Linked DNA regions of Lytechinus pictus. The protein of the gene in region 2 purifies or fractionates together with the protein of the main gene of each other region. This does not show direct contact. Links are inferred from orthologs where the notes say so. Each region holds a gene or a part of one and is shown on either strand. Other genes may lie near its edges.

Evidence for each region.
Region 1: the proteins of partner of Y14 and mago-like (region 2) and protein mago nashi homolog purify together in Drosophila melanogaster (affinity purification with western blotting; 4 studies listed by BioGRID, with this or other methods). This does not show direct contact. The link is inferred for Lytechinus pictus from reciprocal best matches to the Drosophila melanogaster genes Pym and mago.

What each region holds. Positions count from the first base shown.
Region 1 is NC_087248.1:1,643,857-1,656,989, reverse strand, and holds protein mago nashi homolog, read right to left. Parts: upstream 6,596-13,133; 5' UTR 6,574-6,595; coding exon 6,493-6,573; intron 5,011-6,492; coding exon 4,817-5,010; intron 3,890-4,816; coding exon 3,790-3,889; 3' UTR 1,687-3,789; downstream 1-1,686. UniProt on the Drosophila melanogaster protein: Core component of the splicing-dependent multiprotein exon junction complex (EJC) deposited at splice junctions on mRNAs. Involved in exon definition of genes containing long introns, including the rolled/MAPK gene.
Region 2 is NC_087257.1:24,606,562-24,619,723, forward strand, and holds the start of partner of Y14 and mago-like, read right to left. Parts: upstream 5,281-13,162; 5' UTR 5,243-5,280; coding exon 5,197-5,242; intron 4,375-5,196; coding exon 4,281-4,374; intron 2,607-4,280; coding exon 2,177-2,606; 3' UTR 1-2,176. UniProt on the Drosophila melanogaster protein: Regulator of the exon junction complex (EJC), a multiprotein complex that associates immediately upstream of the exon-exon junction on mRNAs and serves as a positional landmark for the intron exon structure of genes and directs post-transcriptional processes in the cytoplasm such as mRNA export, nonsense-mediated mRNA decay (NMD) or translation.

The DNA.
Region 1 (13,133 bases), on a different chromosome or scaffold from region 2:
AGATTGTGAATGAGAATTAACTTTGTAGTCATGACGTTGGGATGATAATGCTAGTGACGTTTTACAGTGCAACATGTCTTATCAAGATGAACCGATATTTAAAAAGAATGTTCATCTAATGTGCAGCCGAAATGGCAGAAAATTGCTGTTTTATTATCATTATTACCATCATTGTTAAAGAATCATAACATGTTTCTTGTTGAAAAGATAAAGTCATTATTATGGAAAACTTGCAAAATTGTGTTTTAATGTTGTATTCATTTCTCATGTTACTTTTCTCTCTTGTCAATCTGTTTTGTCTTGCTTCCCCCTTTCTGTCTCACTCTCTCTCTCCCTCTGAAGGATAATGAAACCCCAAATATTCACAAGAAAAATACCTAAAATGTGAAGATCTAAGAATAATCAATTAGCAATTACTTGTGGTTTGCAATCCACTACAGATCTATTTATAGATATTTTCCAAATTTTTAAAGTTTATTTTCCTTTCACTGCACTTTCATTTGAATGTGCCTGTATGTTGAAAAGAAGTTTCTAATATTTTGTCCTTGGAACCCTTGAACAAAAGGTCTAGGAGGCCACTGGCAGGCTTTCTGAAGAGCGTTTTATCAACAGGTTTTTTTTTTCATCTTAAATTAATGGATACAAAATGGATCCAAGCTTATTAATTACGGGTGAATGGATATCTCATAAAAAGGATCTCTCGGGGGGGGGGGGGGGGGGGAGAAATGCCCATAAAATTTAATCACTCGAGATGCTTTCACACGTAAGGGCAATGATCAAGTGTCGGTCATAATGGTCAAGTGCAGTTACGTGAGCATGTTGACCATTCCATGGTAGACCGACCAAGATCAGTATTTTCATCTAGATTGGTCAACATGGGCACTCAACCATCATTTGTGACTCTAACCACTTCTGCCCTGTAATGCCAAAAGGAAGCAAGTGACCGACTCCTCAAAAAAAGATAAAGATTGTCATTAACACTGCTGATAAAATGATACTTATCTCTCGATCTCATGGTCAGTAAATCACTTGCTTCCTTTTCGTTAGAGAATAGCAACCTGGGCAGTATTGCATAAAGGATCTTATTAATCATTTTCAGTAGGTCTGTCTGATTTCTTTCTGCTTTGGGGGTATTTAACTGTAATTCACACACCTAAAGGTCATTTGACCATATATGATCTTGTGGAAAGTGATTCACATGAGGTCTGAGGATCAAAACTCTACTTGTCTCCAACATTTTAATTTTTCTGGGCAGGGGAGGGGGGAGGGGGGGGGGTGAGAGACTTGGGGAGAGCATTGGAGGGAGATTTTTCCTTCATTTAATCTTCTTAATAAAAAGAGCCTTCAGGATATAACAATATATTTATAAGTAATGATTTGCACAGCAAGATCCAAACCTGGAATATTGCTAAAAAATTAAATGTTCAGTTGGGTTAATCAGAGCTGCTAAGTAGTACAGATTTTCAGTGTTAAGCACTGAAAAATGAGTAAAATGGTTTCACGCAAATGCTGATTTCTGAAGTATGTGTTGCTCTACAAAATACAGATTTTCAGCTTATATTAAAAATATTGATATATTCTTGTTCAGCTCTGGTTAATTGCATTATCTAAAAAAAAAAACCTATTTCCATTAGGGAAAGGGTGCATTTAAACTTGCACAGACATACTATTCATTTCACGGCACTCTTTCCTTTTGTATCATTTTATTCATCTATCATCTGAAGATATCATACATGTACATCAATTTTTGATCCACTATGATGATGCAGTCAAGACACTCTTATAAGACATGGGAGCAAAGCTTCAGACCATTTTCATATACAAACAGTATGTGTTATAAGCGAAAACATGATAAGAAGTTTCAAATGCAGGAGACATTTTCTATCTCACATGCCTTGTAAAACAAAGCTTGGCACACGATCAGAGCCAATTTTATGCACAATAACATTAATTATTGGGTGCAATCAAGAGAAAAGGACAAGGTGTTTTCTATGCTGAAAATATGTTGAAAAATTCTTCATTCAGACTTCAGTCTGATAAATTGCATCGCTGATAGATTTTACATGTCAACCTTGACCATCATTTCAGTACTTTCTGATGAAAAATGTAATTGTATAATTTTCCAACAATTCTGCAACAAACCTATCTTGTGAACTATCTAAAACCAATGATAATGACAGTAGATTGTCCCCATTTCACTACATACAAACGTTTATGAGCTAAAAACTATGTACAGAAGAAGAATATTAAACCAACGTTGGCAAAATTATCATTTAATGGCTTTAACAGAGACCATTCATATCCTTGGAAAATGACATAAGTACAGTTAGACTGAAAAATCTGCTGTTTCAGAGGATTAAAAAATATATTTTCTGATTTTTCGAAGTCAGGATACCGCAAGGCCAGACGAAGTCTCAGCGGAGCATATCCTGACCGAAATAGGCTGATTTTTTCAGTCTAAGTACAGTCTATTAATGTACAAATTGTCTACTACTTTCCCTCAACATATCAAGATAATTACTAGGTTTTTAGAAATAACTCGTGATATACAAGGTAGAATAAAAAAATGGTTTGATGATTTCCGAACGTACATGCTATATAATAAGCAAATTGTGTATGACAGAAGCCCTGCCAAATTGATATCTTTAGTAACATCATGTGCTTCAAAAGATGTAAAATTGTGGTGACTGGATTTGACAGGTGATGATTCTTTCATATCATCCAGTGTTTATCTAATATTAAAAGTTAAAACCATAATTCATGAATAACGCTCTTCAATGATAGATATCCTAAAAGTAAATATTCATTTGAATACCTTCATATTGCGGGTCCTTTATCTGTTTTCAATTTAAAAGCAATTGTGTGCCACAAACTAAGGATTAGACTGCTTATTCAAGATTTTATTTACAACTTGTCCTTAAAGACCATATTAAGTCTCTCTATCATGCATGCACATGCCCTCCTTTTATCAAGATGGACAACAAATATTTCTAATGTGTAACTTACAAGTACAGAATAAACCAAAATGGACAATGGGGACAGCAGCACAAGTTTTTGTTTGATGCAAAAACAATGAATCAAACATGGCATCCATAATGTAGTCTAATGATAAGTGTGTGTATAAGGCTAACAATTTCTATAATAATCACTTTGTTTAAAAGGGTTTGGAGACATGATGACAACACCATGTGTCCCATGCAATAGGTGGATCTAGCCAGATTAGAAACAATACATTGGACAGACCCACCATTTTGTTCACAAACAATTGCATGGCCTGTGAAATAGTATTGTATCTAACCCAGCTTGATCGGCCACCGTTTCCACAGATACTTTGCTTCAAACTTAGTCTAAGTTCTTGATCTCTGTGTTTCATGAAAATGGTACCCTGGTAATGAGATTGATGTGATCTGTAGCACCTCACAGTTTCTTCTGAAGCATTTAAACAACAAATACTGTTCTCTTGAAGTGGATGATCTGTATACTTCAGTCTGGTCAGTTCTGGAGGGGACTCTTTCCATCAGTGACCATTGTCAGAACACTGTTCCAAATATCATTATCCATCAAACGACCAAAGCTATTCACGATATGTTGATGCAGTTCACACTTTTCATGGATCATTCCTTCAGACAGATGGGCTTACTGGTCAATTTGGTGTTGGGCTTGGATACAAACTCCCTTTAATAACAATTCAACTTACACTAACAAACCAATTCTAGTTGAAACTTATTATACAAGATACAAAAAAGTGTCCTTTCCAAATTTGGAATGAGCAATTCCTGGAATGTCCTCTTAGATTGGCTTGATCTTGAAGTGTAAGCCAATGAGTGAAAAGACCAGGCACTTGAGATCTTGTACTAGGTAGTAGAATGTGCGCAGACCTTCAGCATCTCTGCATCAGAAAGAAAAGAACATAGGATTCTCCTGTGACTTCCTGTTCATGAAACAGTATTACTATCTTTTTTAAACCCCAACCCCAACAGCATCACTTCACAAAAAGGATGGATCAAGTTAGATACAAAGATTGGATGAGAAGAATTGACTTGCGATTTAGAGAGAAAAAAAAATTATATACATACATGTAGAGGGAGAAGAAACATGTGAAGTAGTTTTAAGTACCTTCAAGATTCAAAATATTTATTGTCTGTAAAAACACAGAAATTTGGCCTACGCTGGCAATCAATTTAATGATGAAAAACAAATATTCAACATATCAGACACAAATACAAAATTAATGTACGCATCTTTTACTTATGTTTGTGTGGGGTTTTTTTTTTGGGGGGGGGAGAGAAGGGAGGATAGGGGCAGTGAGTGGCCTCAAGTATCCTATCAGTAAATAAGAACACAGGAATTTACTTTAATGAAATTGGCTTGATTGTCAGATTCAAAACAGGATATCAGTTCAAATCAAATAAGTACGTGGTCAAGACTACAGGGAAATTCCCTCCCCTAAAAGAAAAGTTACATGTGTATCAGGAGTGATGAGTCACTTCAGACTGACATTACACGATTTCCTTTTCTAGTAATAGACATGACGCTTGTTTGGTAGAACTTCTTCTAACTGCATGCAGTTGCTTGACTTCAAGTGAAAAGTATTAAAAGTATTGGTAATTTGGTGCTTAAGGAAAATGCTCAGCACCCTCTTGCCAAAAAAAGAAAAGAAAAATCAATAATTTTACCTAGAACAAGGTGTAAGTACCTATTTTTTCAACTAAGTGGATTTATTGAATAAGAATCATATCATGTCTGAATGATGATGATGATCATCATCATCTTTTCACTATTTTCATCAGTCAGTCATGACATATGCTTTCATTACCTGCTGTTGTTAACATCAATCAAGGAACCAAACTTGGTGGTAGCAAATGAGATGTGCTCATCGCCCATCACAATTTCTAGCTCCTGTCGACCTACTCTGTCTGGAGGCGGCCATAGAGCATCGTCTTCCTGCATCACTTCGGAATCATCAACGACGCGTTTCAACTCCTCAATCACAGCCTTGTGTACATAGGCCTGTAACAAAGCAAGATTACACATCAGAATTTATGAACAGATATTTCTTTCTCATAAGCCCCTACTTATCTCTCAGAATTGCTTTTCTTTAAAATTCAGCCAACCTCACATAACTTGAAGTTCAAATCATGATAGATTCCTTCTGAAACAGGCTACTCTTTAATGATTGCGCATTCAGCTATGCAGCTCATAAGCTGTGGAACCAGATTTAACCCTGTACTATACACAGGCAAAATTTTCTACCTAGCCCCGGCTAAAGAAATTCTTGGTTTTCACAAAAATTCAATAATCCCCAACTAAATCAGATAGCCATTCATCATTGCTTATCTTTGATTGGACAACCTAGAGTATGGGGTTAAGGAAAATTTTGGCAGTGAGAAAAGGGTATTTGTAGTATAATCAAAAGGAGTTTCTACCAAAGCACAAGAGAGCATATTTACATAGTGGCTGCACTAGACAATTCTAAAGCATTATTCAAACCATGAAACAAACATTTATAATTTAACAAGAAGATTCTTGCAGCTTCATACAAGCACCATCATAATCTACATTTCTTGATTATCATTATCACCAGCCATCATTTTCTTCATCCTCAAGAAAATTAACTCTATTCCATCGTCATCATCATCACCAACTCATCCTCATCATCATCCTCCTCATCATCATCATCATCATCATCATCATCATCATCATCATCATCATCATCATCTTTTCAGCAGGAATCCCACAAGGCTCTTTCCATTGCTTATCATTACAATAATAATAAAAACAAAAACAATGGGAAATGCAAGAGCTGCAATGAAAAACACTTAGCTCAATTCCTGCTAAAACATGCAGCAAAGACTCTCATCTCTCAGCTACAAAGAATACAGAACACTGCTGCTAGAATTGTCAATAAAGTCCCTTGAAAACAGGATATATCCAAACCACTCAAGCAACTGCACTAGCAACCAGTAGAGAAGCGTATCTTCTTCAAAATCCTCGTCATAACATTCAAGAGCATCCAAGGAAAGCCCCCCTCATACATCGCGAGCATGATCAACACCTACCAACCCTCCCAATCACTTCGGTCATCCAACAAGAACCTTTTAGTTGTTCCCAAGGCAACCTCCCACACCCATGGCGACAGAGCCTTTTCAGTTGTGGCTCTTACACTCTTGAACTCACTTCCTCTTAGCTTAAGATCCCATTCTTCTCTAAGTTCCTTTAAAGTAACACTTAAGACATATTTCTTCCGTAAATAGTATGATTTTTTACAGTTAATATGTCCATATTTAAGTTGGTATTTTAGATATATGTAAGGTTATTACGTTGGATGTTTAGTTATGTAAGGTAGTTAAGTTGATAAGTGAGTTTAGTTTATTACGTTAAGTAGTTAGGTTTTGTGATGTAAAGCGCTTAGAGAAATTTTGATAGGCGCTATATAAATATTGAATTATTATTATTAAGGTGCCTCCCTGTAAATACCCATAACTGTCATACCTCTTTCCTGATCATGACATCATTCTTGTAGTTTGAATTGTTGGCATAACGAAGCTTTCCTGTAGAAATAAAAATATACATGTGGTCATCATAGAATTACAACAAAAATTATGTGCATTATTAGCATTTATTTTCTACATAGAGAGTATACAAACACGCCTACTTGGAGTTGGTTTAAATGCTAAGTCTCTGTGATTAAATCACTTATCACATGTGGAAGCGCCATGGTGTAGCGGTTCTGACTCTCGTCTTGTAATCAGAGGGTCATGTGTTCAAATCCCACCATGGCCTAGTGTCCTTTGGCAAGGCGTCAATTCACAATTTGCCACTCTCCACCCAGGTGTTAAATAGGTACCCGGTAGGATGCGAAAGCCTATGTAGTATGCCTAGCAATTGAGTCTTGGAACTCTTGTTTGAATGCTCCCCAGGGAGTGGAAGAGGTGCATACATTGTATGCGGGCATGTAAGGATCCGATGACCAGGGTAATAATATATCTGTAAAGCGCTTAGCGACATTGTTCCGATGTGTTAAGCGCTATATAAATGCAGAATATTATTACTATTATTTAAATACTCACATAAAATACACTAAACAATCTCTTGAGAGTTAAGTTGAAATATACTTCCTATCACAAACCTTACAATTTACCTCTTGATTCACTCACGAAAAAAAACAGAAAAATATTTTTTCAAGAATTATCAAACTCATTTATTCTGAACAGTATACCTTTCTGTTCAAACAGATTTGGCAGTCTCATCATTTGTTGGCCTACTGTATGAAAGTTTAGGCACAGTGATATTGTCTTAAATTTAAAATTTCCTTTTCTCTTTCCTGTCTTTCTCTCGTCCAGCTATGCATACACATACATGCCGACGACTTGATTTCTGCGAAAGTTCAATGCTGTAGAGTTTTTCCTTGCGTACGAGAGCCGTTAAATTGAGCCTCACCACATGTGATAAGAAACCAAAAGTTGCAGCTGCTACTGCATTTCACTCGGACCCCATGTCGAATGGAATGACCAATTGAGAAAGAAAAAACAGAAAAACTACCGCATTGAATTTGCAAAGAAATCAATATGACGGCATGCTAGCGGCAGGCCTCTATTCAACATGGGGTCCAAGTGTATTGCAGCAGTGAATGGCTGCTTCAACTTCCCGGTTGCATATTGCATGCAGTGCAGCACAATTTAGCAGCTCTCGTACGCATTGACTTTTGAACGAGCAATATATGTTGAACGGAGGGCAGGAGCTGTCAAATAGCTGGCACAAAAGATGACAATACATACATTTCAAAATTTTTGAAATATTGAGATGTACGAGAAAATAAACATTGCAATTATAGAATAATTGATGTAAATTTTTTTTTGTGAAAAGACATTTTAGAACAAAAAATATTGCAAAAAATGCTTAACATGTCGAATTCTGGGCAGCTTACTCTAATCTTGACAGCTGGCAGCCGTCTGTTTCGAGGAGTTTTTAAACCTTGTTTTTTCTCCACGTACATACATGTAAATGGCTATACATGCTTTTTGGACCTTTTTTTCTTTGAATTTGAAAGGATGAAAAGCTTTCATAATTTGAGTTTTCTTTTCTTTAAAACTTTCTCCACCTTTTTCTGCTCTATTTCATTCTCTTTTTTCTTTTCCTCTTTTCTTATTTTTTTTACTTTCAACTTTTTTTCCTTTTCCCTTTTTTGTTTTGTTTCTTTGCTGTTAATTCTTTTCATTTTTGTTCTTTTAAGTTTTAAATTTTCTTTTTTTTCCTTTTATTGATTCTTTTCCGTTTTTTCTTTTTATTCTTATTTTTTCTCCACTAACTTGTAGTTTGGATAGACTGCCTAAATTTATGGTTATGGGGTCAACTAAAGCTTGTTTTCTTTTTTTTAAACCTTTTTCATTCTCATCGATTTCTATTTTTTTTCTCTCTCTCTTTATCTTTTCCCTTTTTTCTTTTGTTTCTTTAAGTTACTGTTCTTTTCATTTTTTCTTTTAACTTTAACTAGATCTAGGCATATTTTGTTTTAGGGCCCATTCTATTATTGGCCTATTCTGTAATACCTTACTTTTTATTTTGTGTTTTATTTTTCTTTTCTTTTCAATTTTTTCACATTTTTCCCCCCTAATTGCCTAAATTTATGGTTAAGGGGTCAACTAATAAAGCTACGCTTCACTCACAATCATGAAGATCACTCGCCCTGGCTGGGGCCGATTGCACGAAAGGGTCTTTGCAAGAACCGTCTTTCGTGTCGCCCATTTATTATGATGCGCCATGTGAAACGCATTTTAAATAAATTACCTGCAAACATATTTTATTCATCCGTTAAAGTAAACAAAATCTTTGTTTATAAAATGATGTGATATAGGGCCTAGGCCTATCATGAAATTGTATACAAAACTCAAAAGTCAAAATGATTTAAATAAATGCTAGCTAACAAATTTTAAATGTTTATCATACATTTCAGAAAAATCCCACATACAGCGCATCATAAAACTGATGGGCGACACGAAAGACGGTCCTTGGAAAGACCCTTTCGCGCAATTGGCCCATGTAAAAAATGTAAGCCATGCATAAGCCGGGCGGCGCGTTTCCGTTTTACACCCTGGCGAAGGCATTTTCCGGAAAAATAGCCACAAAGCGACTAGTGAAGAGTCTACGTCTACGTTTGTTTACATAATCAGCTGGGCGCTCGATCCAAAAGTCCGCACCGAAGATATCCGCAGAAACATACGTGCAAATGCAGCTGAGCTTATAGACCAAACGCTTTGCAGTCTCTGTATTTTGGTTGTTCCGCTGAACTACGTTGGCTCCATTATTATTATTTTTTTTACTTTATCGCACATGATCGTTTATATGAATGAAAACGAATAATAGCTAAAATATTGAAAAATAAAACACATAATTACCTCTTTTTCTTCATATTATATCTATCCTTATATCTATCATATCTCCACTATCTATGTTATAAATCAATCTATGGAACTACATGATATATCTATCTGTCAATTTGTCTATCTACTCTGTCTCTCTCATTCTCTATCTACCTATCTATCTATCTATCTATCCATCTAACATCTATCTCTCAAATTCTCTATCTATCCATCTGTCTCTCTTTTATTTCTCTCTATCCATCTATTAATCTATTCATGTGCAATAACAACACTGCTTCGACTTCCTTCGGGAGTCTATTTCCTCAGCTCTACTTTTCCCTTTTTTGTGCTCGATTCGATTCAATTACTACTTTATTTACTTGTTACCATTGTTAAATGTCTTGTATTGCATAATGAGTTTTTTTTTCTGAAGGTTGCCTCCTCGGTGCATCCTATTCTCTTTCAAAGTCCACCTCTTGCTTTCCCTTCTCTTTGTCTTATCCCAATTTCTTTCCCTTCTCTCACCTCTTTCCTCTTCTCTCTCCTCTTTCTTCTTAATCTTTCATTCCGCATTTTTCTTCTTAGGTGACACTCTGTTGTACTTTTGGCCTTTTGTATTTATTTATGATACATTTCTTTTGTATTGTATTTGATATTTATTTATAATGTTTACTTTATATTTTGTTATGATTTTATTTGTATGTAAACATAATGTTGTAACCTGCAAGTGAAAACCCAAACCGTACCGTCCCGTATAATCCAATAATTTGCAAGCGGGACCCGCTGACCCGTCGGGTTTTAACCCGCAAGTAAATTTATCTTTGAAAAATGAAAATTATTTCTGCAATCCCCACACTATACAGGCTCAAATCACGAAAATATATGCCAACTACTAACCTAGCCTAGAGTGAATTTACTTTACAATTTGCAAATTCGCCTCTTATTCCGGAGAGAAAATGTTTTTTTGGGTTACTTTGTACCCGAAATGGGTCGGCTCTGATCTCGAAGTCAAGCATTGCGCAATTAACTCCTCGGATCGGAGCCGCAGCTCAGCGCGCGCTAGCTACATGTAGCCCAGGCTGCCCAGCAAATTCGATGTTCAGTTTCCCGTCGCCCGCCCGCGTTATGAAATTTGGACCGCGTTTAAAAATCAAATTCTGAAAATAATTCATTATTTTACTATTTTGACATAGATCTCGATTCAGAACTGATATAAAACATTAATATAAGCTTTTCAGTCACAATTACTTGATCATGTAAATACCTGTAATTCTTTTCTTGTTTTTTTCTTGTGAATGGAATGACACTGCATGCTCAACCACACCTCGAGCGATGTTCGTGCAGGCTCCACTCAACTTCACTTCTGCTACACTACGCTCTACCTACCCGATGTAGCGGTAGTGAAGTGGAGTGGAGCCTGCACGAACATCGCTCGAGGAGTTTGGTCGAGCTACCTCAATAAATCCCATAGTCTAGTAACCTCGCATTGGTGAGTTGTCATACGGCATATCAGACAAAAAAATCATCAAACAAAACTCAATCTGTTTTACAAGGCCGACGGGAGGCTCACGCACGTACGCATTGGCGCTTGTACTAGCTAGCCAGTCTGAGCTCTGTCTCTCTGCCAGAGCTCTGGGGGACAATCGCTCTGTAAAGGCCTCAATGATGGTGATTTTATGTTTCAGACAGAGTTTATATTTCGGGAATATTATTCAAAACTGCCAATAAAGTTAGATGATTTCTTCATTGTCATGTATATTTAAGTTATTAATGAGTTCATTCTCACCAAATTTAGACTCCCCCATAGAGAAATGCAATTTTCGTGGAGATCTGCGTTTTCAAAGAACATCAGGAAAAGTTAGGGTATGTGGGCCTTTATTACAATCATGGCCAAGAACTGGAATTAGATGGAGTAGAAATTAGACATTGAATTCATTTATATCCAAGTTCAACTCATAGTCACACCCACACAAACACACCCACATCCAAGATTCTAAGCATGAAAAAAATAACTTTAAAATCATGCAATATTAAACAATAAGTAATAATTAATTTAATAAGTGAACAGGGATTCCTCAAAATACAAAAACGTAGCATTTGAAAAGAGCCCCCGAAATGAAAAAAGTAGCCTCCAAAACGGTAGAAATGGAGACCCTGAAATATTACAAAAAAATGAAAATGGAACCCCCGAAAAAAAATGATTGATTTGCTCCCTGGCTTCAAGACAGTTCCACAGAATAAAAGTGCGTTCAAAGGTTACAAAAGGTCAAACTTTCATCTTCTGGAAAATAATGAATAATGAAATCCTCATTATGAGCTGGAAAAAATGGGACGGGAAACTCGACATCGAGTTTCATTGGCCTATGCGATTGCTTTTGACTAGACTCGACTGTGCTGCGCTGCACTGGCGCGCGCTCCTTCTTCGAAAGAGCAACTCGATGTATTTATGTCGAACTGTCTCAGTCCAGTTCACTGTTCACAAGACAAAAATACGCCAGCATTTTTTTAAAAGGAAATATCTACGTCTCTAAAAGAATCCGCCACGTAAGAAGCACATGATCCTAACTCCATTTTCATTGTTAATGTTTTTATTATGCGTCGTTACTTCTCCCTTTTTTTTCGCATAACGGTCTGCGGGTTTGAGAATGAACTCGGCCCGGCCCGCAACCCGCGATCGGGGGCATACCGGCAGGTTAACCCGTACCGCAACGGGTGCGGGTTACAACATTATGTAAACATTCACTTATTTCAGTCTTTGACTGCTTGTGATTGTATTTTGATAGTTTTTATTGCAATAAATCCAATATATATATATATGTCTTAAATTCTCTCTATCCATCTGTCTGTCTTTTTCTCTCTCCCTATTTCTCTCTATCCGTCTATCTATCTCTCGAATTCTCTCTATCCATCTGTCTGTCTGTCTCTCAAATTCTCTCTCTCTCTCTCTCTATCTATCCATCTGTCTGTCTTTTTCTGTCTATCCGTCTATATATCTATCTCTCAAATTCTATCTCTCTCTATCTAACTATATATCTATCTATCTATCTATGTAACTACAGTATCTATCTATCTGTTAATCTTCTCTGTCTCATTCTTTATCTATATCTAACATCTATCTATCTCTCAAATTATCTATCTCTCTATCTATCTACCCATCTGTCTTTCTCTAGTTCTCTCTCTCTCTCTATGAATCTATCTATCTATCTTCTATATATCTATCTATCTATATATCTATCTATATATCTATCTATCTATCTATCTATCTATCTATCTATCTATTTATCTATCTATGTAACTACAGTATCTATCTATCTGTTAATTTGTCGCTCTTCTCTGTCTCTCTCATTCTTTGTCTATCTATCTACACAGCAAAAACTGTGGTGTTAACCGGTGTACATAGAGGACCACACAAGTTATTTTACACCGGTGTTAAATTGGTGGTGTTAGTTTTACACCTATAGGTGTTATTACAACCATCTTTGGTGTAATGTTCAATCTCTAGGGTGTGATTTTAACACCTCAGGGTGTGGTCCTCTATTAACACCAATTGGTGTCAGTTTTAACACCACAGTTTTTACAGTGTATCTATATATCTATCTAACATCTATCTATCTTTCAAATTCTCTATCTCTCTTTCCCTCTATCTATCTATCCTTTTGTCTGTCTGTTTTTCTCTCTTTCTCTCTTTCTCTTTTTCTGTCCATATATATATATCTATCTATCTATAACATCTCTCCATCTCTCAAGTTCTCTCCCCTATCTATCTATCTATCT
Region 2 (13,162 bases):
ATTGTTTGATAAAGTTGATCGTACGGCTGATTTTTACAATTGATTTCATTGATCGTTGTGTGCCATCAAGCAGAGAAATCAACTGCTCAGTCTATTGCTTTGTGTAAAGGGTCCCATGTAATGGGGGCATTCTGATGGATAGTGTCACCATGCATTGACATAAAGAGCATAGGATAATAATGCTTCTAGGAGACACCTCACTATAAAATTCATTTGCATATTTTATAATTGATTTGCGGAATCGCTTCAAACGGTCATTGGCACATATAAATTCATCACATGTCGGGGGAAAAAACACTGCACAAAAATATACAATAAATAGAATAACAGATATTTGCCAAACTACCACCCGGTCAAAGAGTTGATATCAATTTTTTTAATCCAATATAACTCTTAATGATAGGGTTCTGGACAATTAGTATGGTATACATGTACAGGTGTGTCTGACATTGGAAGTTGAGTCTCTTAGGATTTAGGACAACAGAAATTTATTTGATTTAGGCAAAATTTCACTCCAAAAAGGGAAACAATACAAGCTTTGCATAATCTGGACTGAAAACTTTCCTTGACTTTAAGATGAAGGCAATTATTCAACTTGCACGAGATCAACTTACACCGAGTTAAGTTGTATTACAATATATTGCTTTTGTTGCTACCTTTTTATAGTTCATGATAAAAGACAATTACAAATACCAGATGACACTAGTCATTAATTTCAAAAACACGTAACGGTAATGTATTATGTTCCAAGTCAAGTGATTTAGAAGATTTCTACTCCCTCCACAACACCACCACATTTTCTATGGTTAGACTCGACATACATAAGCTGCTACTTGACTTACAACTATGTCAAGAATACATAAATGCAGAATAGAAAATTGTTTCTTCAAAACTCAAAATTAAATTCTATCATTACTATGAATTATTACAGATTATTCTCTAAAAAATGGTAAGATTTGACAACAGAATAAGAAAAAAAGAGTTGATCCTCGACCTAGTGCACTCAAAACTTAAAGGATACAATGGGATGAAAATAATTATATCTACATAAATATAGTAAATTCACCCAGCAAAACGGGAGTATTCAATACATTTTTTCTTTCATTCTTGGAGGAAAAAAATTGAAAAATATAAATTCATATAATAATAAGATACAAAAATAATCGGAGATATGACATGAGCTTGCTCATTACATATTCATGAACACATGAATAGAACTTTTGATCACCGAAATAATGCAAAACTCTAAGTTTAAGAATATCATAACTTTATTATTCCTTGTTTAATTTTGATGACATTTTCAGTGTTTTGGTTGTCTTTATCTGTCTAAATCAACTTAACCTGTAGTGTTATACCTCTTAAAATCACCAGTTCATTGGAAACATTATATAGCGTAGAGATAATTAAATTTACATGCAGCAATTCCAGTGACCTTGAAATTTGATCTGTAGCCCCAAAAATGTTGAAAGGTCATAGATCAAATATTGAAGGAGATGGGAATTTCCATGGCTGGCTCTTCAGGACATTTCTGGGGTGAATTCGTCCTGGCGCCCCCTATAATTTACCATGCCGAGCAGAACCTGAATGATGTGGAGCACGTGTCATATGCCACCTTGTCTCCTTGATACACACAGTACTTTTATCATATCTAATATCATTTTACTTGAGCACTAAAAACCCACAACTGAAAGGAAAAGTTTCATTTAAAGCATGAGACGTTCATACTGTACAAAATCTGTTCTTTTGTCTAATTTTTGGATATAAATTTCATGGCTTTCGTGTTAAGTAGTTGAAGATTGCATTTTTAGATAAGCTAATAAATTTTCTAAATATTGTATAAAGCATACATGTACACAGGAAGTATATTTTGGCTTAATATAGACTGAGAACTATTCCTGTTGACTCATTGTGGATTTTGCAGCTGGCAGTTAAGATAAATATATCTTCTTACCATTTAAAAAGGGTTGTCCTTGGTGAAATTTTTTCATCATGTTTGATTGACCAACAAGATATTTTTTTTCAGCAACCGATGGCAAGGTTTTCTCTCAGTCTCTGCAATTTCATTTTTGTCCACAGCTAGGCTTTCTATCTTTAGGGTAGGTCAAGGAAGATAGAAGCTCCTTCCATTTCTTTATCTGCAAAATTTAATTTCACTCTCAGTCTAAGATTTTCATCATCATGACCCATCTTCCAGCAAGTCCAGTTCATCTTCAAGTTCTCCTTTTCTAGCAATCTTTTCGAGCTGCTCTTTGGAAGGTTGTGCTACTTCTCCGCTGGCAATTTTGGCTTCCAAATCCTCAATCTGCCTGATTTTCTTCTTAAGGTTCTTAATCCTCTTCTGAGGATCTTGCAGGACCGGCGCAGGATCCGCGCCTCCACCCACACTGACCTCCTGGACCCCCTTCCTTAGCTGTTCCACATCACCATTTTGGACTTCTCCCACCTCGTTCTGCTTCTCTTTCCGTTTCTGGCGACGTTTCTCGTTCTTCTTGGCAGCCTTGGTGAGTGCCTTAGATTCTTCTACCTTTGCAGGAACTGGGTCTTCGTAGACTCCTGGAGGAAGTCTTGGTTTGCTGTTAATCCATTGCTTGCCTTTACTCTCATACCTGGAAGAAACAAGTGGAATGCCTCTGGCCGTCTCACCTGCATCACGCGATTCAATATAGCAGCAGTGCTGATTTTGAAAACTACTATAACTCGCACAAGATGTTCAGTGATACTTGGTTACTCGTATTTCCACGTTTTATGAATTAGACCAATACACTTATAGAGATATGATGGCAATTCAACAAATACCCCCAACATGGCCAAAGTTCTTTGACCTTACATGACCTTTGACCTTGATCATGTGACCTGAAACTCGCACAGGATGTTCAGTGATACTTGATTACTCTTATGTCCAAGTTTTATGAACTAGACCAACACACTTTCAAATTTATGGCTGTAATTCAACAAATACCCCAATTTGGCCAAAGTTCATTGACCCTAAATGACCTTTGACCTTGATCATGTGACCTGAAACTTGCACAGGATGTTCAGTAATACTTGATTACTATTATGTCCAAGTTTCATGAATCAGATCCATAAACTTTCAAAGTTATGATGGTAATTCAACAGATACCCCCAATTCGGCCAAAGTTCATTGACCCTAAATGACCTTTGACCTTGGTCATGTGTCGTGAAACTCATGCAGGATGTTCAGTGATACTTGATTAACCTTATGTATAAGTTTCATGAACTAGGTCCATATATTTTCTAATTTATGATGACATTTCAAAAACTTAACCTTAGGTTAAGATTTTGATGTTGATTCCCCCAACATGGTCTAAGTTCATTGACCCTAAATGACCTTTGACCTTGGTCATGTGACATGAAACTCAGGCAGGATGTTCAGTAATACTTGATTAACCTTATGGCCAAGTTTCATGAACTAGGTCCATATACTTTCTAAGTTATGCTGTCATTTCAAAAACTTAACCTCAGGTTAAGATTTGGTGTTGACGCCGCCGCCGCCGTCGCCGCCGCCGTCGCCGTCGGAAAAGCGGCGCCTATAGTCTCACTCTGCTATGCAGGTGAGACAAAAAGCAAAGATTAGAAATCAAGGGAACATTACTTAAAGATAAACATGTAATCATAACTGACAAGCTGGCCTTCATAAACTTAATTAAAAGTCTTTATTTTAATTGACTGAGAAGCAATGTTCGGAAGCAAGACCCTCTCATTAATGATCTTTTACAAAAAACAAGGGTTTGGTAGTGAAAGCATGGGGAAAATATTATCAAGTGATGGACATTTTCTTTCTACCTTCTTCAGTTCATTCTATATTTCTTTTTTTTTTATTGAACTTTGAATAGTAATTCACTGGGCTTCCTGTAAATAACAGAAGCAGAGAAAAAGAGTATAAGGGATTTGGGGATGAAATAACTACCAAAATGCTCAAGATAGTTCAGTTGTATTTCTTACAGTAACAGGACCTGTAAATAAAATTACAAATGGTTTCAATACAGAAGCTGATTTGACGTAAAGAAGATTCACAATTTCCTCTTTATCAGGACAGGCAAAAAAATGTTTTGTTTCAAAACATGTTTCTAACCATGTTTTAATTGATTTGAAACAAAAAACAAAACCACACACACAAACACTCTTAAAAAAAATAAAATTATTATTTCCTATCACGACCCTGCCCTGTTTACGCATTCATTCCCGATTACATGGGCAAATTTCATTGGGGGTAGGGGGGGGTACCTGCCCTTTGCCTCTGAGCTGGAGAGTACACTTACAAAGGAACTTCTTCTTGGGGTATGTATCCAGGTTTTACTCTCCTTGGCTTTCTCCATGTTCCATCAGGCCTTTGGGTTGCTGGCAGGAATTGACCTGAAAGTAGGGAAGGGGAGGGACAGATTGTTACAAATTCTTTCAAGCAGGGTAGTAACTAGACAGGGATAACCGTCGTTTCTTGGGATTTATTTAACAATTTCTGACATTTTACTATCATTCCCATTCACCAACGGTAGTGTTAGTGCGAGCCTGCAAGTGTAATCAGGACCACCAATTCGGGCGACCGGGTTTTGTCTAGATTTTTAATTTTTTTAAATTCTAAATGACATTATTATCTTGAACGAAGTCGAAGGCCCACTATTTTCGTTAGACTCTAATCTTTCTTTTGATACTATACATATTACAAGAAAATATTAAAATTATATGTTACCGATGATTTATTCCTTATTTTTTTAATTTTTCTGCCGGAGAGGAAAAAATGGCAGTCGTGTGTTGCTGCCCTTAAGTTCAACGAGTTGTGCTTTTAATTTTTTATCATCAAGGCTTTCCAATTAGAATTTTTCGATATCCTGGCCAATCAATGCGACAAGTTCCGAACGCACGCACATCTACAGATCTTACAAATTTATTCAAAACAGCGTCAACGTTTAATACTGTCAACGCTCAGTGATATGAAATTTCGCTCTCACTCAACATTAAAAAAAACCTATCCACCGCCCACATAACACCAAATTGGGTATGTTGGACCACGTTTAAAAACATCCAATTCAATGATTGAAAATGTGATGATTTTCTTAATCTTACATCATAACGAATGGTTAAATAATGCTTGATGGAATACAAAACTACTACACCCGAAATTGCAATTTGATGGTCATCCTCACTTCCACTTAGACAGAAATAAGGGTCTATACTTGCCTGATTCATCCGTTTCAACGTTTTCTTTTGCAGCGGACGCCATCATCCCTCCACCATCATCAACACAAATGATAAGTCGGGCGCCATCTACGACCATAATTTATTTATCTGAAACAGAAAAAAAAGTTATTATCTTATCTAACATATGGAACAGAATAGGCCCTTGTGTATTTTGGTTTGATCGATCTCGTCGTCTCAAATATCCCTCCCGCCCTTTTGCCCCTTTTTCTATTATTGGTATATTACCTTAAAAAGGTCAGTATATAAAGTACAACATATTTGCATAGCAATCAAATTTGCAATGGTTGAATTACTAGTAAGATGTATTCGATGACAAGGAATTAAATTATGGTAATAAAAAGGAAACGGTTAAACACAGGGAGGAGAAGAGAATGGGAGTGAGAGAAGGGGAATGGAAATTAAACGTAGAATAATAAAAACAGAGGGAGAGAGAGGAAGAGAGAGAAAGAGCACACACAGAAAGGGTTAAATTAAAGAACAAGCCTTAGAATAAGAAAAGAGTGAAACCACGAGAAAAGGGAGAACTAAAAAGTAAGATAGATTAATAGATAGATATATAGAAAAATAAATAGATGTATGAATAAATGAATAAATAAATAGATAAAAAAATAAATGAATAAAGCATTATCAAAACTATATGCATAGGCACATGAATAGATACCCTATTATTTCATTTTATTTCATAAAGTTTTGTTTCCTTAAATTTTTTTTTTTTTTTTTTGGGGGGGGGGAGGCCCCATTTAGCCCTACATGACTTTTCTGTCATGGCTTCTGTACATATGCTTCATTCTTTCATCCCGTCTTTCTCTACCGATCTTCTGATCTGAGCATTATCTCTTAATTTTTTAGCATTCTTCTTATCTGCCCCCACTCTCTCTCTCTCTGTCTCTCTTTCTTTCCTTCTCCCCTTTCCCTCTCCCTCTTCCCCCTCTCAAGTGCTCTCTATTTTATTGTGTCATTACTGAGTAGGATAGATGATAACTATGACATAACACATTCATTACACATGGTTTTCTGTATGGGTCAATCATTCTATTCAGTGAAAGATTATAGATGCAAGATCAATGAGTTATCATACTTATGGCATGCATACTTACAAGTAAAAAAAGAAAAGAAAACACAAGTACAAACAAGTTTTTCCTTTCTTAACTATCAAGTGAGCAAATTTATTTGCATACGAGATGTCTAAAACGTGACAAACTCCATAAAAAATAAGATCCTAGTGAGAAAATGATATGGCATGATATCAAGTCATAATTTGAGGAGGGTATACTCATGGAGTAACAGTATCTCATTTGGATACACTTTTGTGTACCGTGTGAGTAAAAAAAACTTTGCACCTCACAAATTCCCATTTTAAGAAAAAATATGCCATGAACGCATAATCATTATATATGGCTGGAAAGAGTATCTTCTCCCAATTATTTTGATACCATATTTATGTGGTATGTGTTAACGCTTGGATGATCAGTAGATATTCTTTGCAGTGATGTAAATTTTGACTTGCACCAAAATAAGGCATGGCTGCATTGAAAGAATCCAGATGTCAATGATGTCATAATCCTACATGAGGTAGTTAACATATTTGCAAATTCCTTTTCAATGAAATAATTTTGAGAATTGACACTGAAAGTGTTTATTACACAATTATAATGTAAATTATTGAAAAGGCATTTTGAAATGGATTTTAATGCAACCGTTGTAGGATTACAATATCATTGACATCTGGATTCATTCATTGCAGTCATAACTTACTTTCGCACAAATCAATTTACATCACTGCAAAGAATACCTCCTGATAATCCAAGCATTAACACATCCCACATAAATATGGTATCAAATTATTCGGGAGGACATACTCTTCCAGGCCATATATAATAATGATGTCATCATGACACAATTTTCCTTAAATTTGGGATTTGTGAGGTGTCAAGTTTTTTTTTTTGACTCACAAGGTAGTATCTCTCAATCATGAAGGCTAGCAATTACAAATGAAATATGATTAGAAAAAGAAAAATGTAATGAAAAAGGTAAGATACCATATCCAGAACAGTATGTGCTGCCATTCCTTAATAAAATCTGATTATCTTAAGGTAATCGTTACACACTCCAAATTGGCAATGCCATGAAAACAACAAAATCACTGTTATAAAATACAGTTTATTCAAGCAAAAGGCATACAACAAAGAAGTGTAATTATCTATTTACTTTTGCCCTATGTTCAGTGAAAAATTGTGATATCCTTGCTAAATCGTTAACAAATATGCAGTTGTCAGTTTTACTTTGAGTCATGTTACTATGGCATCTAAATAAATTCTATATCACGCAATGCAACATTGCATAGACATTTAAATTAATGGAAAACAAACTCCCCTATGTCACAAAATGCTGTAGTTCACTCTAAATAAGATTTAAAACACATCAAGATCAGCTGTCAATAATGACTACTCGAAATTTGGATTGAAAATTAAATGTGAAAGATTTATTTTTCAATCTCAAAGAATTAGAATTCAAATCTTTTTAAAATCCTGAGCTTGACTGACTTCTCACAGCTGATCTAGATTGATTTTTATTAAGGATCCCTGTGATTTAGTGTGTAAACATGCAGTCCCAAAGAACAAGACAATATCAAGGTTATAAAGTGCCACAGTTCCGCATGGTCTATTTTGCACTAAGGATGTGCTGTTATTTAATGATACATGTATATCCTTTTTATAGTGTTTTGTGTGAAAGCAAAGAACTACTAATAATTAGAAATTAGTTTGAATATTTCAACAACATAGTTATATGCATTAAAAAAACATGCAAATAATCCAACCACACAAACTAATTACCTTCAGTAAGAGATACTATCCCCATGCTTTCAGAGTCAAATTACATCCTGTGGCATATACAAATATATAATCTTGTCTAAAGAGAATCACTGGATTAGGAGTCAGGAGATGAGATTATCTTATCCCCTTATAAATGCAAATATCCACAACATGACACCTCAAAAAATCTACATTAAAACAATTTATCAAATCAGTTAACAAACATTCACATAAATAAGATAGTACATATCTAATTACCAAGACAATAAATAGGATTTCAAAAATTTCTATCATAGTATTGATCTATATAGCATAAAACATTTTCATCTCTTATAAACCATTGGCTTTATGTACAAAAGAATCACATTATATCCATATCACGTGCATAAGAAAATTACCTGTATATCAAAACAAAATTTACATCTCTCAATGTGACAAAAATGATGTTCATAATAATATGCAGTCAACTTTGCATTATAAAACTGTTCATTTTATAGGTGAAATTCAAGTTGAAATAATTGCCAGTGTGTTTGTTCTTGGTTATTAATGTAAATATGGTTTTATTGCATTCAAAGAATTTTCTAAAGATTCAGAACAGATTTAATTTGGAAAATTGAATATATTTGATTAGAAAATCACATCTGTCATGTGATCCATATTAATAGCATCATCTATCAGCAGAATTATGTCTACAAGGTGCCATTGAATCTACAAACCAAGTACAACAATTTCTGGTACAAATCATATGCTTAAAATCACAAGTGATGATTTTCACAATATTTTTTTTTCTTAGCATTTAAGCATATTTCTACAGACATAGTTACAACATTCCACATACAGAAAGGTTGCGAAAGAACAAAAAAACCATTTCATGTCATACTTCTAAGGTTACACAGTACATGTATATACAAGCAGAGTCAACTTTGGCACCTTTTAATTAAATGAACTGGTAAGAAGACATGTGGCATTTAATACACTAAAAATGTGTTCGTACTACCTTATAAAAGGGGATCAAGCATTTTTGTAGTCCATAGGAGTGACAAGGTATTCACAACTCTAAGGATGCCTTTATACTACATTTTCAAATGCAGATCGAGCGTGTTGAAAGTTGAAAAATATAGTTCACAGGAGTACTGATAATGCTCAGCGTTCCCATGTTTTGGCTAAGCCAATCTGCAAGATATTAAGCAATAATCATAACATGCAATCTCTCTGTCAATTGAACCATCATGTTGCCTTTATATTTACCCAGAAAATATTTTTTTTAGACTGAGTGCACTTTAAACACACTATTTTGTACATTTTTAGAATGTTTAACATGGTGATTACAATCTTGGCAAGGACACAAATGTAATTGGATTTCATGCATTGACAAAAAAAGACTTTCTAGCCCAATCATATAAAAGATCTACCTGTTGTTCTTTTACAGAAAAAAATCCACTTTGATTACTTTCTTCTGCAACATGAGGCAAATTCCTACAGTATTTCTGATTTTAACGAGGAAAAGTATGCACATACTACTACTACAAATAATGATGTAAGCCAATTTAATCAGATATCGATTCAATGTAATAAATAAACATTGAGCACCAATCAGTATCTTCATCTACTACAGATACTAGAACAGTGTGAAGAGCTTATGTTTAAATAACTTTAGATTTTTGTTGTCCACACTTTGGATTATGTGTGTGTGGAATGCATGAAGGGGTGGGTGTGCATGGGTATGTGTGTGTGGGTAATGACACATATGTATCAATCGGATATGATTATTTACATCCAGGAACTGACCTTTTGTGTCAGCAACCAACCGATCTGACCTAATGCGTGGTTCCAACCACAGATTTCCAGTTTGAATCAGTTGGTTACTACCCCATGCAGCTGGTTCAGGCTCAAACCACAATACACAGTGAGCATTATCACAGAGCTGCAGTGGGTAGTAATGCCTTATGCCTCAGTCACATTTGCTCTATGGCGGCCGTACGGTGAGTCAAAAACAGCCGTTTTAACATTTTTTATACCAGCTACATATATGTGGTTTGAATAAAAAGTGAATAAAACGGCTGTTTTGGACTCGCCATATGGCCGCCGTAGAGCAAATGTGACTGAGGTATTACTGCGCCGTAGAGCAAATGTGACTGAGGTATTACTGCTATGTAAACTGAAATGCTATATTGACACACACTCACTTTTCGTAATACAAGGAGAAAGCCCCTTTTTGAAACTAGCCCAGGTAAGAGCATCAGAATGTACTTGCAGAAGGAATGATGCAGAGCAGATAAACACACTTAACAATAAACGAGTACCCATAAACATATATAAAAAAATCCAACAGTTACCAATTAATTATAACCATAACTTTGAAAGGGTAGTTTCAACTCACTTACCACTAAGTTTTATGCTATTTAGTTTTTATATTCAGACAGAGTGCAAAGAAACATATAATTGATGGGGTGGGCTCAAATCCCACTGCTGCCACAAAAATTAAAGTTTCTACAGATATACAATAGAAAACTGGTGATGAATTGATAGGCAGGGGTCACATCCCACCGCTGCCACAAAAAGTAAAGTTTCCGTAGTTATAGCATGGGGGAAGATGTTATGATCATGGGCTAGCCTTGCAACTCTGAAAATAAACTGGACAGTTTAGCAAGCTTATCTAATCACATCAGCAAATATTGCAAGAATGATATATTGTATAAACTTACAAACTAAAATTAAACTAGAAATTTAATTTGTCATGGGGACGAATTTGGTGATCTGTCTGTGATTCTCATGGTCCCAATCATCATCATGATCTAATTCTCGATCATAATCACCAAGTTTATGCAGACAAACATGATCATCATTATGAAAAGTGAACTTTTATTACTTCTGTGAAAAGGTACAAGGAATGCACATGATAAATGTGTTATGAGCAAAAGGATACAAATAAATAAATAGTAAAAACTTCAAGTGGGTTTTAAACCAGGGACCCTCGCTTTATAAGGCAGATGCACTATCCATTCGACCACAATATTTCTCTTACACCCATAAGGCAAAGAATGAAACATAATCTAAAATTGACTTTTGCAAGTGCATGACCTTAATGGCATGGATAGTTGACCCTTGACTTGAAGTTGATATGATGTACATATGTTTGATTTTTGAGAAATGATAATGGAGATATGATTGATAATCTGATTTTACAAAATGGCGCCTAGATGACGTCATGATAATTATTTGAGCTTGAACTTGTTTCATACACATCGCATGATAGGTCCGCATAAATGAAAAAATATTGATGAAAATTGATAAAGGAGTTTTGGAGATTTTGTGGGAAAAAGAAAAGGGTGGAATGAGGAAAATAAACAATAATAAAAATAAAGAAATAAAAAGAAAATTTGTAGAGACATAAAAGGTAATCTGTCAACAGAAAGATAACCTAATAAGTGCCATTAACATATTGTCCTCATTTGTAGTAAGGCACTGACAACCAGTGAAAAAATACCAGCATATATCAAATTACTTAAAAAGTCTTTGGTGCAGAATAAGTTTTATGTGTAAATTTGTACAATAATTTTCAACCCAGTACTATCCAGCTAAAAACCTTGTACTGACACCTTTTAGCAATTGCTAAATATTCGAAATTGGCATTTAAATGCAAACTCTCTATTCTAGCAGTCCATATTATAAATATCATAAATATTACAATATCAACTGCAGGGAAAGGTTCTAGTCGGCTACATTTCCTTAATATATGTCATGTATGGGAATGCAGACAAAGGCCTACATACAACATATGCACATATAATCAGGGGTGTTTCATAATGTTATTTGTAATTTACGCACAACTTCAAGCATGACTAGTAACCCGAGTTTAAATACTTCTGGTTTTAACATAACAGACATTAATTTCCTATAACCCTTGAAAATGTTTACAAAGAATAAATTTTGCATTCTGATGCTTATTCATGACAAAAGATCTGCAAAGATCAGATTTCTGTTCTCTTAATGATCTGTTTAGTTTGATTGTTTTTTATTGAATGAAGCACGCAATTTAGAAAAATCAAATAGCTGATGAGAAACAAAATTTGAGACTCTGAAAAGTTCAAGTAACTAGTCATGCATAAAGTGTACATAAATTATCAACAAGTTTATGAAATACCACAAATAATGATGAAATATTAATATATATCTCAACTATCAAAACTGGAAATGATTGCATAAAATGTTTCAAGTGTTCTCTATATCTATCAATTATCTAAGTCTTTTAATGGAACTTGGAAGAGTTCTTTGCTGGTTCAATGATTAGATGACAATTTCTTTTCCCTTCAATCAAGTAATTATATTATCGTTCAAATTAAGGCACGTTTACATGAATCTCATTCATTTTCTCCACCGCAAGTACGGTACCACAGGAAGCTTTCCAAATCCCTCGTCATTGCTTATGGACAACTTGAGGGGTTATAAAGGAAAAAAAACTGGTTGGGATTCCGGCTGAAAAGTGATCTTAAAAATACCATGGACCTTTGCACATCACAACATCGTTCTTTCTAAATCCCTTGTTGTTTTGGCTAAACACAACTTGGAAGTCTACATAAGAGGCTGGGTGTGATTCCAGCCGAAAGCTGCGGCTAAACATAGCATAGAACTTTGCACATCACAACAGCTTTCTTAATCCCTTGTTGTTTTGCCTATACACACAACTTGGACGACTACAAAAGAAAAGATGCTGGGTGGGATTCTGGCTGATAGCTGCTACCAAACGTGGCACAGAATTCGTTCAGGTACCAAAAAGAGGTGCTTTTAAACAACCAGTACCAGCAGACAAATTACTACACAGGGGATCTTTCAGTACACAGAAAAGAGCTAGCATCCATGGGAAAGTCTCTCTTATATTGCAAGTTTTGGAAGATCCTGAAGATTGGAATAGGGATGTTACTCTTTTGCTGCCAGTCCTTTCATCATTGGTAAATCAGAGCCGTCTAGTTCGCCGGTAGGGTCTACTGGAGGTTTAATGGGCATTGGGGCAGCACCATCTGCTTCTTCTTCCCAGTCCTTGCGAGTCTTTCTCTTGAAGAAGCCACACTGAATGGTTGGAGGATCACAAAAAGAATGTATTTTAACATTCAGTGGGAACATGATAAAAAAAT